3 linked regions of the Oryctolagus cuniculus genome follow. The protein of the gene in region 3 purifies or fractionates together with the protein of the main gene of each other region. This does not show direct contact. Links are inferred from orthologs where the notes say so. Each region holds a gene or a part of one and is shown on either strand. Other genes may lie near its edges.

Evidence for each region.
Region 1: the proteins of TNRC6B (region 3) and protein argonaute-4 purify together in Homo sapiens (co-immunoprecipitation; 3 studies listed by BioGRID and IntAct, with this or other methods). This does not show direct contact. The link is inferred for Oryctolagus cuniculus from reciprocal best matches to the Homo sapiens genes TNRC6B and AGO4.
Region 2: the proteins of TNRC6B (region 3) and protein argonaute-3 purify together in Homo sapiens (affinity purification with mass spectrometry; 6 studies listed by BioGRID and IntAct, with this or other methods). This does not show direct contact. The link is inferred for Oryctolagus cuniculus from reciprocal best matches to the Homo sapiens genes TNRC6B and AGO3.

Annotation. Positions count from the first base shown.
Region 1 is NC_091438.1:136,826,961-136,830,609, forward strand, and holds part of protein argonaute-4, read right to left. Parts: intron 2,423-3,649; coding exon 2,257-2,422; intron 1-2,256.
Region 2 is NC_091438.1:136,589,016-136,592,664, forward strand, and holds part of protein argonaute-3, read right to left. Parts: intron 3,286-3,649; exon of another isoform or gene 3,055-3,285; intron 1,914-3,054; coding exon 1,812-1,913; intron 1-1,811.
Region 3 is NC_091442.1:116,179,314-116,183,529, forward strand, and holds the start of TNRC6B (trinucleotide repeat-containing gene 6B protein), read left to right. Parts: upstream 1-1,285; 5' UTR 1,286-1,947; intron 1,948-4,216.

The sequences.
Region 1 (3,649 bases), on a different chromosome or scaffold from region 3:
CAACATTAGTGACTTCCACATGGGGACTACCTCTTGAGAGCCAAAATATATCGCTAGTTAATTCATTAATATTATTACAAATGAAAGCTGTGGGGAAGCTTTATACACCACACTTATTTATATACCAAGTCATGTAACTGAAAAAAAGCTTACTTAAGATTATATATTTTAATACTAGAAAAGGTTATGATTATAAAGAGTTTTACAGTAAAGAGATTTTTTGCCTTCATTCTCATTTACTTTTCACAATAACCTTGTAAGATAACGGAGAAAGATTACAGGAAAAAAGAAAAATTCAGAATGAGCCAGGATCTGTCCCCTGGTCACACAATGATGAAGCAGCAGAACTGCATGACCTTGGACAACTTTCTTAATCTTTCCCATGTTTGTTTCCTCATGGTAAAATTATGACAATAGGGACTGGTGTTTGACACAGGGGTTAAGATACTATTTGGGGCCAGCGCCGCGGCTCACTAGGCTAATCCTCCGCCTTGCGGCGCCTGCACACTGGGTTCTAGTCCCGGTTGCCCCTCTTCCAGGCCAGCTCTCTGCTGTGGCCCAGGAGTGCAGTGGAGGATGGCCCAAGTCCTTGAGCCCTGCACCCCATGGGAGACCAGGATAAGTACCTGGCTCCTGCCATTGGATCAGCGCAGTGCGCCGGCCGCAGCGCACCGGCCGCGGCGGCCATTGGAGGGTGAACCAACGGCAAAGGAAGACCTTTCTCTCTCTCTCTCTCTCTCTCACTGTCTACTCTGCCTGTCAGAAAAAAAAAAAAAGAAAAAAGAAAAAGAAAAAAAAAGAAAGAAAGAAAAAAAGATACTATTTGGAACAAGCATATCCATAGCAAAATGCCTGAGTTTGACTCCCAATCCTGCTTCTCATTCCAGCTGCCTGCTACTGTACACCCTGAGACAGGTGGTGGCTTGAGTACTTGGTTCCCTGCCATCCACACAGGAGACCAGGACTAAGTTCTCAGCTCCTGGCTTTGGCTGGCCTGGTCCATGATTTTGCAGGCATTTGAGGAGTGAACCAGCAGATGAAAGAGCTCTATCTCTCTGCCCTTCAAATAAATAAAATTACATTTTAAATTATTATAATATTTATTTTAAAAGAACTCTCTTTTAAGTCATCAAATATTTCCTCCTTAATGAAGAGAGACAGAGAGAAAGGTCTTCCTTTTGCCGTTGGTTCACCCTCCAATGGCCACCGCGGCCAGCATGCTGTGGCCGGTGCATCGTGCTGATCCAGAGCCAGGAGCCAGGTGCTTCTCCTGGTCTCCCATGGGGTGCAGGGCCCAAGCACTTGGGCCATCCTCCATTGCACTCCCGGGCCATAGCAGAGAGCTGGCCTGGAAGAGGGACAACCGGGACAGAATCTGGCACCCCGACCGGGACTAGAACCCGGTGTGCCGGCGCCGCAAGGCGGAGGATTAGCCTATTGAGCCACGGCGCCGGCCCTAGGGTCCATTTTCAAGTTAGGACCCAAACAATCTATTAAAAATCTGAGTCATATCACATGTGTATTTGATGCCCCTGTTACCAGAGTAAATGCTATAGAAAATGTTTTGACTACCTGTGATGAAAAAAATTTCAAGCAGCACATGATATTTTACTTATTAGCAAGAACAAGAATGTTAAGGTCAAAGACTGTTTGAATATCATGGCGTGGAAAGGGGGAAAATCAAAGTGGGTGCACACTGCTAGAATATTTACTACAGGGCTGTGTCTTCACATCTGGCAAATTCTTGCTATACAGCCAACAAAATTCATAGCATCTCATCAGTACCCCTCTTGGATAGTGCTAGAAATAAGTAGAACTTTCCTCTGAGCAATTTTTTTCAATATTTCAAGATGATTCTTCTGTCTTCACACTTACATACTTCTCATGATCAATGTAAACATTTAATAAAATTTGAATTTCCAGATAGTTCTACGTCCCATAGATACTAATGTCCTCACCTATTCTTACACATTTCTGTTCCTCTTTGTTCCTGAGAGTGACCTTTCTCTTTCATTCAGTAGGCATTTGCTACTTATGGTTATATATGACACTCAATTGTACCAGAATAAATGATACACCCACCACTCTACTGGAATAACCAAGGAGGATAACCAAGTACGAGACCACAGACTTGCTATTAAAAAACTCACCATCTCGGGTAAAAACAAAGCCTGTGTGTTGACATAATTTAGAGAACAATATGATAGAAATCATGCTCACTCAAATATACAGAGGCCTGTTCTTTCTGACCCTTACCTGTTGACTCTGCGAGGCCGTTTTTCTGGCTTAATGTCCACATCATAGTGATACACATCTATTTTAGGAATCTGAACCTGAAAATGATTGGCTAACAGTCGAATTGGTTTTCCAACAGTACCAAGGCCAGGACGACGAGGTGGCTGAAATAGGCTGGTGGGAGGTCCTAAAAGATTAAAAGACATTTGCTATGTTATTTGGTCATGAAGTATAATATTTATAATGATGATGACGACAATGCTGCTAGCTGCAATTACTCAGATCTTTTATTCACTGAGCTTGCTCTGATTAAGTGGTTAGGATATCAGGTTGGGACACCCACATTCCATATGGAGTGTCTGGGTTTGAGTCTCAGCTCCCCTCCTGATTCCTGGTTTTCTGCTAATGCAGTTCGTAGAAGGCAGCAGGTGATGGCTCAAGTGCTTGGGACCTTCCGTCTACATGTGAGTCCTGGACTGAGTTCTTTCTTCTGTGCTTCAGCCAGTGCCTGACTTGAGCATTGCACACATTTAGGGAGTGAACCAGCAATGAGAGTTCATTCTGCCCCTCAAATTAAATAAATTGATGAATTTAGTATAGAATGTCTGCCAGCTTAAGGTTCTCTATATTTCTAAATATTTTGCCAGGTTGCCATTATTTTAAAGATAAAGACATCAGAATTAGAGAGTATGATGAATTCCTTTCACTTGTAGGTTAGTGTAAAACTTCTCATGAGCACTAATAGCTCTAAAGCTAGCCTTACAAGGCTGTATGCATTAAAAAAATAAAACTATCTTCAAATTCTTGGGGCCATCATTCTCAGAGTTGGGGGTGATCCATTAATTCTCCATTATTATTATAGATTAATATTATTATAATTATGCATTATTATCTGTTGTACAAACAGGAGAAAAATAAATAGTAGCTATATTTATCCATTTATTTGCTAATTTTCATAGTGAAAAATACTAATAGTACTATATCTCTTGTTTATAGTCTGATATTTTTAGAATTGGGACAATGAAATTTCCTAATCAGAAGATTTAGTTTAGTTACTCAACAAACATTTATTAATTTTTAAAATAATTTACTATTTATTTTATTTACTTGAAAGGCAGAGCAAGACAGAGGGAGAGAGAAAGAAAGAGAGAGAGAGAGAGATCTTCCATCTCATGGTTTACTCCCTAAATGGCCACAACAGCCAGGACTGGGTCAGGCAGAAGTCCAGGAAGCTGTAACCACATCCGGGTCTCCCACGTGGGTGGCAGGGACCCGAGTACTTGAGCCAGCATCTGCTACCTCCCAGGGTGTGCATTAGCAGGAAGCTGTATCAGGAAGTACAGTAACAGAGTCTTGAACCAGGCACTCTGATATGGGATGTGGGCAACCCAAGTGATGGCTTAACCCACTGTGC
Region 2 (3,649 bases), on a different chromosome or scaffold from region 3:
CCATACTGTAGTGCCTAGGTTGGAGTCCTGGCTCTGCTCTCGGTTCCAGTTTCCTGCTGATGCACACCCTGGGAAGAAGCAAGTGATGGCTCAAATAGTTGGGACCCTGCCACCCACATGGGAAACCCAGATGAGTTCCCAGCTCCTGGCTTCTGCTTGGCTCAGCACAAGCTGTTGTGGAAATTTGGGGAGTGAAGAGGCAGATGAGAGCTGTCTGTATTTGCCTCTCAAATATATAAACTTATTTAAAAAGAAGAAAAAATCTTAATGAAGCTGAGAAGACATATAAACAACAGTCTTTAGTCCCTGTGAAATATTCCACATTATTTGCTGACTAGAGCAGAAATCTGACACTAGTGTTCCAATGGAAAACTGATCCCTAAGATTTTTGGTTAAATGTATGCTGCACCCATGTAGGAGACCCGGAAGAAGTTCCTGGCTCCTGGCTCTTGACTTCAGATTGGCCCAGCTCCAGCTGTTGTGTGCATTTGGGGAGTGAACCAGCAGATGCAAGATCTTTCTCTCTCTCTCTCTCTCTGCCTCTGTAACTCTCTGTCTTCCAAATAAATAAATGAATCTTAAAAAAAAAAAAACACACACACACACACAACAACAAAAAACTAACAAGGGCTGCAACTGTGATGTAGTGGGTAAAGCCACCGCCTGTAGTGCTAGCATCCCATATAGGTGCTGGTTTAAGACCTGGCTGCTCCACTTCCAATCCAGCTCTCTGCTATGGCCTGGGAGGGCAATGGGAGATGGCCCAATTGTTTGGGCCCCTGCACCCATGTAGGAGACCTGGAAGAAGCTCCTGGCTCCTGGCTTTGGATTGGCCCAGCTCCAGCTATTGCAGCCATTTGGAGAGTGAACAAGCGGGATGGAAGATCTCTCGTTCTGCCTCTGCCTCTTTGTAACTCTGTCTTTCAAATAAATAAATAAATCTTTAAAAAAGAGAAATATGTACTCCATAGGGAGTATCATTATGTCTTAGAATTGTATATATGAAATATATGAAATTTGTTCCCTTCTTATAAATAAAAAATAGAAAAAAAACAAAAAAAGAAATATGTGCTTTAGTGATACAGGCTTTATCCCTAGAAGGTGCCATTAACTTTTTTTTGTGATTGTTCCCACTCACTCTGAAGACACACAACATTGATTCTGAAGAGAAACTGATATAAGAACATAGATGAAAGAGTGTGATAATATTTTAAAGATAAGAGTTTGAAAGGGGTTAGTGCATGTGCGGCATGTGAAACTGTAAGACATAGCTGTCAAGTAAGGTACATCTTTCTGAAATTTCTACCTTAATGACAGATAACTTAAGAGAGTTTTGGGCTATATCCTCTCAGATACCCTTGGGATATGAGTTTCTTCCTATTGCTGCAAAGTCTGAGAAACACTGAATTAATTAATTACCAAGTAAAACCAACAAATTAATGAAAAGATTCTTTGGAAATAAGAAAAGATTCTTAAAATCATTTAACTGAAACAGAAAGCTATAATTCTGCAATTAAACTCTTTCACAAGCTCACTATCTACCAGGAAATATGAAAGTTTTCTATATAATATCATCAACAAGAAGCATAGTCAAAGGAACTCTTAGTTACTTTAAGCTTTTTCAAAGATTTAGGCTAAATTAAGGAAGATTTATTCTGTTACACTAACTGTATTCTAATTTTCATAAAAATAGCCCATCTGAAGGTAAGGGAAGAGTTGAAGAATACTTTCTTCTCCTTCTGAGATTTAAAAAATACACATAAGAACGTAAGTTTTTGCATTAAAAGATTTCGCCCACACGGCAGGCTTACCTGTATTCCAGCATGGCTACAGAGGTAAAAATCAAACTCATATGGGTGTGTGATGTCTGTATCAACTGTTGTTCCAGCTGGGATATTGCCACTTCTGCCAACCTAGATTTGTTTGGTCAAAGTTTAAATAAATAAGACAAAGGTAAAGAACATATATGAAAAATATAATGTATACACTGGCACAGGTGTTTTGCATAGCAGTTAAAACACTGCTTGTGATATCCCATACTAAAGGGCCGGGGTTGGAGCCCTGGCTCTGCTCTCAACTCAAGATTCCTGCTAATGTGCACGCCTGAGGGCAGCAGGTGATTGATACCTGCCTGTTATATCTTTGTCTACTTTTGTAATTGCAACCTTTCTGTGTTGGTTTGGTTTCAAGTACATTTCTTACACACTTCAGACAGTTTGCTAGTATTTTACACATTTTGAAAATCATTTCAACTTAACAAATGGCAATATTCTGAAAATACCTCTGTATACAGGTGGGTACTCTTCCATCAGTGAGTTAAGAAAACTAGAATTGTCCTTGGAGAACACTACACTTTATGTTTAGAAACAAAGAATGCTGACCACAAGATCAGCAGTAGTTACCATTTGTTAATTACTTACATGTCACTTAAATCCTGATGACAATCCTGCAAGTTAGATATTATCCCATCTGTATGGGAAAACTAAGGTTCAGGACTCACATGCAATATACGGAAGAACTGGGATTTGAACACAAACGTGACTTATAGGCTCTATACCTTTTATTGCATATGGACAGTTTCACCATCTCAGAAGAAAACAGTTATCATGATTTTTCTCTGAGTAGGTATGTTACTGAAATAATTCAAAATTCCTGATAATGAAAAGCTCCCAGTAAAACACTTTAAACTGTGTATTATACTCATATCTACCCCCTTATCAACAACACATTTAAAATCATTATTTGTATAGGTTTATACAGCTAGTAGATAAGAAACTATCTGATTGACTCAGACATTATTACTGCCATGTGAAGGATTGCTACTGCATAAATGTCTTGAATTACAGATGTGTGGAGCAACCAGTTAGACTTGCCAAGCCTAAAACAAAGACAACAGTTCATAATCTTCTCAATCATGCCTAATCTTAAAAAAAAAAAAAAAAAAAAAAAACACACAAACTTATAAATTAGCAACACATGAGCCTTTTATCAAAAGTTGTACTCTTGGTGGGAATTGTGGGGTGGGGTGTTTGGCTTAGCAGTTAAGGCACATACCAGAGAGCCTGAGTTAGATTCCTAGTTTTGTCTCCTGATTTCAACTTCCTGCTAATGTGGACCCTGGAAAACAGGAGGTGATAACTGGCTGGATGGATCTCTGACACCAGTGTAGGAGAACTGGACTGAGTTCCTAGCTTCTGGCTTGGGCCTGGCCCAGTCCTGGCTGTTGCAGGCATACACGGGAATCAAACAGTGAGTAGAAGCTCTGTCTGTGTTATCTCCCCAACTCTAATTTAAAAACAAGAAAGAAAATATGCATGGATTGAATATTTTTTTTTTAAAAAGTGAACTCTTGGGGGCTGGCACTATGGTGTAGAAGATTAAGCCATTGCCTGCAGTGCCAGCATCCCATATGGGCACCATATCCCATCTTGGCTGTTTTACTTCTGATCCAGCTCCCTGCTAATGTACCTGGGAAAGCAGTGCAAGATGGCCCCTGTACTTGTGTCCCTGAGCCCACATGGGAAACCCAGAAGAATCTCCTGGCTCCTGGCTCCAGCCTGGCACAGCCCCAGCCATTGCAGCCATTTGGGGAATGAACCAGTGGATGGAAGATTTCTATGTCTATAACTCTGCCTCTTAAATAAATAAA
Region 3 (4,216 bases):
AGAGTGAACCAACAGCAAAGGAAGACCTTTCTCTCTGTCTCTCTCTCTCACTGTCCACTCTGCCTGTCAAAAAAAAAAAAAAATTGCCTCTCGCTGTTGCCCTAGGACTAGCTGTCCTTTCCTCCCCATGGACGTTTGTGAGCTACCTCAGATCCCTCTGCTGCAAGGCGCGCAAGGCGCAGCCTTATTGTGGGCTACAGCGGTTGTCTCGTTGCTAAAGCAGCGCCTCTGAGCTTACACAACAGCCCCGATGAAGCTCCAGGGTGCGGAGCTGGGGAGGGGAAACACTCGACGCCGCAGCTTCCCGGGCTAGCCTCCAGCGCCCTGCTCCTGCAGGTCGTGTTGGTCCCGGAGGCTGCCGGCTCGCGCTCTGGCAACGGGCTCCAAGCCTCCTGCCCTGCCCTGCCTGGAACGCGGGCTCGCTGCCATGAAAGCGCCCAGTGGCCAGTGGCCAGGAGCAGGCATCTCGCTCGGCCTCAGCCACCCTGGACGCGGTCCAGGAGCGGAAGGGCTCTTCCGTTTGCACGCGATACATTATTGATTTCCAAGGCGAGTCGCTCTTGATCTCGACTCTCTCCAAAGAATGAGCAGGGAACGGACGCGAAGGGGGCTTGGCGGGCCGGGCGGGGAGGATGGCCGCGATGTCCACCTGCGAAAGCCGGGTCGGTGAAAGAGGTGGACGTGCACTTCTGGGGGGCGGGAGGGGGGCATCAAGGCAGTTCAACTCAGGGTGCCGGAACAGAGGATGGGGCGGGGGCGACCCCTCCACAGTCAAGGCTTCCAGAGGAGACGGCGGCACCGGGTGCCCGGCGAGGCGGCCGTGTGACAGCCTGGGCTTGGCAGCCGGGTCCGATTCCGGGCACCGTGAAATAAGAGGGCTCTGTCGCCGCGCCAGCGCCGCGGGCTCCCGTCTCCGCGCGACCTTGGGCGCCCCCCGGCCCGAGCGTCCTAGCCCAATCGCGCCATCACCCCCACGCGTCTGACCAAGCCGTCTCTGTGAGGAACTCGGCAGCACGCTAGGCACGCCAGGACGGCCATTACCGCCGCCCAAGACGTGCCAAGCCACCAGGGCCGAACCCGACTCGCAGGCCGCGCAGCGAGCGGGACCCGACCGGCGCAGCCGGGCGCCCAATAAGCCGCCGGGACAGAACTCAGTGGCTTCAAACCAATGGCTTCAGCCCTTGTTGCTGGCCGGGCTTTCTGGCCGTTCCACCAATAGCTTGCAGCCTCGGCTCGGGAGTGGCAGCCCGACCGTCCAATGACGCACCACCAGCCCACACTCAGCACTTCTGAGGGGATAAATCAAGGAGCCGGCACGTATAGATTCCGTTATTAGGCAGTACGGGATGGAGAGAGGACGTTAGAGGAAACGGCGCCGGGGCGAGGCACTCATGAGCTAAAAATAGAAAAACGACGATGGTTGCGCCAAACGAGCTCGGCCGCCATCATGCTCTAGTTTCCCCTTCGCCTCTCTCGGTCCGCAACCGAGGAAGCGGCCTCTGGGATGCTGAGGGGGTGTGTCCCCGCATGATTGGCGCAGGTAGCTCAGCCAATCCTAGCTCGTCAAACGGGAAGCACTTAACCAATGAGGGGCGACGGCAGCGGCGAGGAATTGGAGGGGCGGAACGACAACTTGACGGGCACAAAAGCCAGCCAGTGACAGCCGGAAACATCCTCCCTGCGGCCAATGGGATGGGACTCTGGGCGGGCCCCCGAGTGTTTGTGTTGTGGTTTTGGGGGAGGGAGGCGGAGGGGAAAGTTTGTTTATTTTGTTTTTAGTTTCTGGGGTCCCCGTGCTTCTGGGAGGTGAAGCGGGAGGGAGGGACCCCCGCGCCCCTCAAGTTCCCCTACGACGTCGCCCCCGTAGCCTGCGGAGAAGCGGGGACCGCGCGCATCGCCTCGCCTCACAGCGGAACGCCGCGCACTCGGAGCCGGCGCAGCTCGCCGGTGAGTGAGGACCGGAGCCGCGCCGTCCTTCCCCTCCCCCGCGCGCCGTGCGGCCCGAGCTGGGCGGCCGGGGCGCGCGGCGTGTGCGTGTCCTCGCGAGGGAGCGCGCGGCGCGGCCCGGGGACGGGGGGCGTGAGCGCTCGCGGGGGCGGCCGCGGCGGCCGGGGCTGAGGCGAGGGGCCGGCAGGGCCGCGCGCCCCGGAGCGGCCGGGCGCGCGCGCCTCCCGCGTCACGCGCCGGCAGGTGTGAGGCGGGGAGGGCTTCCGGGCGTGCGGGCCGCGGCGAGGTCGCTTCCCGTCGCTGGGGGGCCCTGGGGAGCGAGGCCCGCGCGTCCCGGCGTCGCGCCGAGAGCCGCGGCCCGCCGGGGTGCGCCGCCTCTGCTGGCGCGGGCCGGGGGAGCCCCGGGGCCCGGGGCGTCGCACCTGCGTGATGCCGGGACGAGCCCCCGGGCCGGACCCCGGCCGGAGCCCCCCGCGCGCCTTCCCGGAGCCCGCGCCCGTGGCCGCTGGGGGCGGGGAGCGTTGGCCGCCTCCCCTTGGCCTGGCGCCCGTTAGTTTGCAGCTGGAGGGGTTTCAGCCCCTGGTGGCCCCCGGAATGCCTGCGGTGCCCGGCGACCCCCAGGACCTCAGTGCGGACCAGCCCGGGCCGGGCCCTAGCCCTGTATCCCGCGTGGCTTCGGGCCGTGAGTGAGCCTCATGGGTGCCCTCCGGCCGTGCACGGGGAAGCGAGGGGAGAGCGGAGCGTTTTGTGAAGACGCCTGTGTTGCGGGAAACTGCAGTGGTGTGAAGTGTTCTGTTGGTGTGGCGAGGCTCCAGCGACGTCGGCTTTGGCTTTGGAACCGTGGCTTTGCGTGGTGTTACTAAAAGCCTCCTAAGGAGCAGAGCTTGGAGCTGGCCTCGCCGTGGGCGTGTGCGCGGGTGCACGTCGAAGGCCCCCCGCGCTTAAAGCCCCAGCACAGCGTCCGGAGCACAAGTCTAAACCAGGCTGGCTTGTCCCACTTGGGACAAGGGACTGATGACAAGGACGCCTTTATTTTCTTTTAGACCTTGAGCTTCTTAGGAACGTTTACTTATTTATTTGAAAGGCAGAGCGACAGAGCAAGAGAGAGCGAGATCTTCATCCACTGGTTACTCCCCAAAGGCCCCCAGTAGCTGGGGCTGGGCCAGGCTGAAGCCAGGAGCCAGACACTGCATACAGGTGTCCCGGGTGGGTGGCGGGGACCTAGGCACTTGAGTCGCCCTCTCATGCCTCCCAGGCTGCAAATTAACAGGACGCTGGATGTGGGGTGCTGCTGTCCCGAGCTGTGGCCTAACCCACTGCCCATAGCACCTGCCCAGTTCTTTACCATTTTAATGAGCTTGTCCCAAGCACCATTATTTTCTGTAGTTTCTGATAGGACTTAAAGAGACATAGAAGTTCCCAAGCTGCTTTTCTTTTCTGAAAATAAACATTTATTTATTTTTATTTGAAAGGCAGAGTGATAGAAGATCTTGCCTCTGCAGGGTCCCTTGCCAAACGGCTGGGGCTGGCCTGAAACCAGGAGCCTGGAACTTCATGTTGAACACGTGCTCACAGGGGGTGCAGGTGTTGCAGGCTGCGGCTTAACCCACCGTGCGGCAATACCAGCCGCCTCTTTATTTATTTATTTATTTATTAAGACATTTATTTACGTGAAAGAGTTACTGAGAGAAAGGAAGAGACAGAGAGATCTACCTGCTGGTTCACTCCCCCAAATGGCTGCAACAACCAGGTCTGGGTCAGGCAGAAACCAGGAACCTGAAGCTCCATCCTGGTTGCCCACCTGGATGAAGGGGCCCAAGTACCTGGGCCATCAGTTGCTGCCTTCTCAGGCACATAGCAGGAAGCTGGATCAGATCTGGAGCACCCAGTTTCAAATGCACACTCTTGGGATCTGCTTTTTATGGAAAAATAAATGTCATGCCCTTGAGAAAAAGGGTTTTTTTTTCTAAGATGGAGGCACTGAAAAATGTTTTTTAAAAGATTTTTTAAAAATTTCTTCATTGGCTGGCACCATGGCTCACTAGGCTAATCTTCCACCTTGCGGCGCCGGCACACCGGGTTCTAGTCCCGGTCGGGGCGCCGGATTCTGTCCCGGTTGCTCCTCTTCCAGGCCAGCTCTCTGCTGTGGCCAGGGAAGGCAGTGGAGGATGGCCCAAGTGCTTGGGCCTTGCACCCCATGGGAGACCAGGATAAGTACCTGCCTCCTGCCTTTGGATCAGCGCGGTGCGCCGGCTGCAGCACGCCGGCT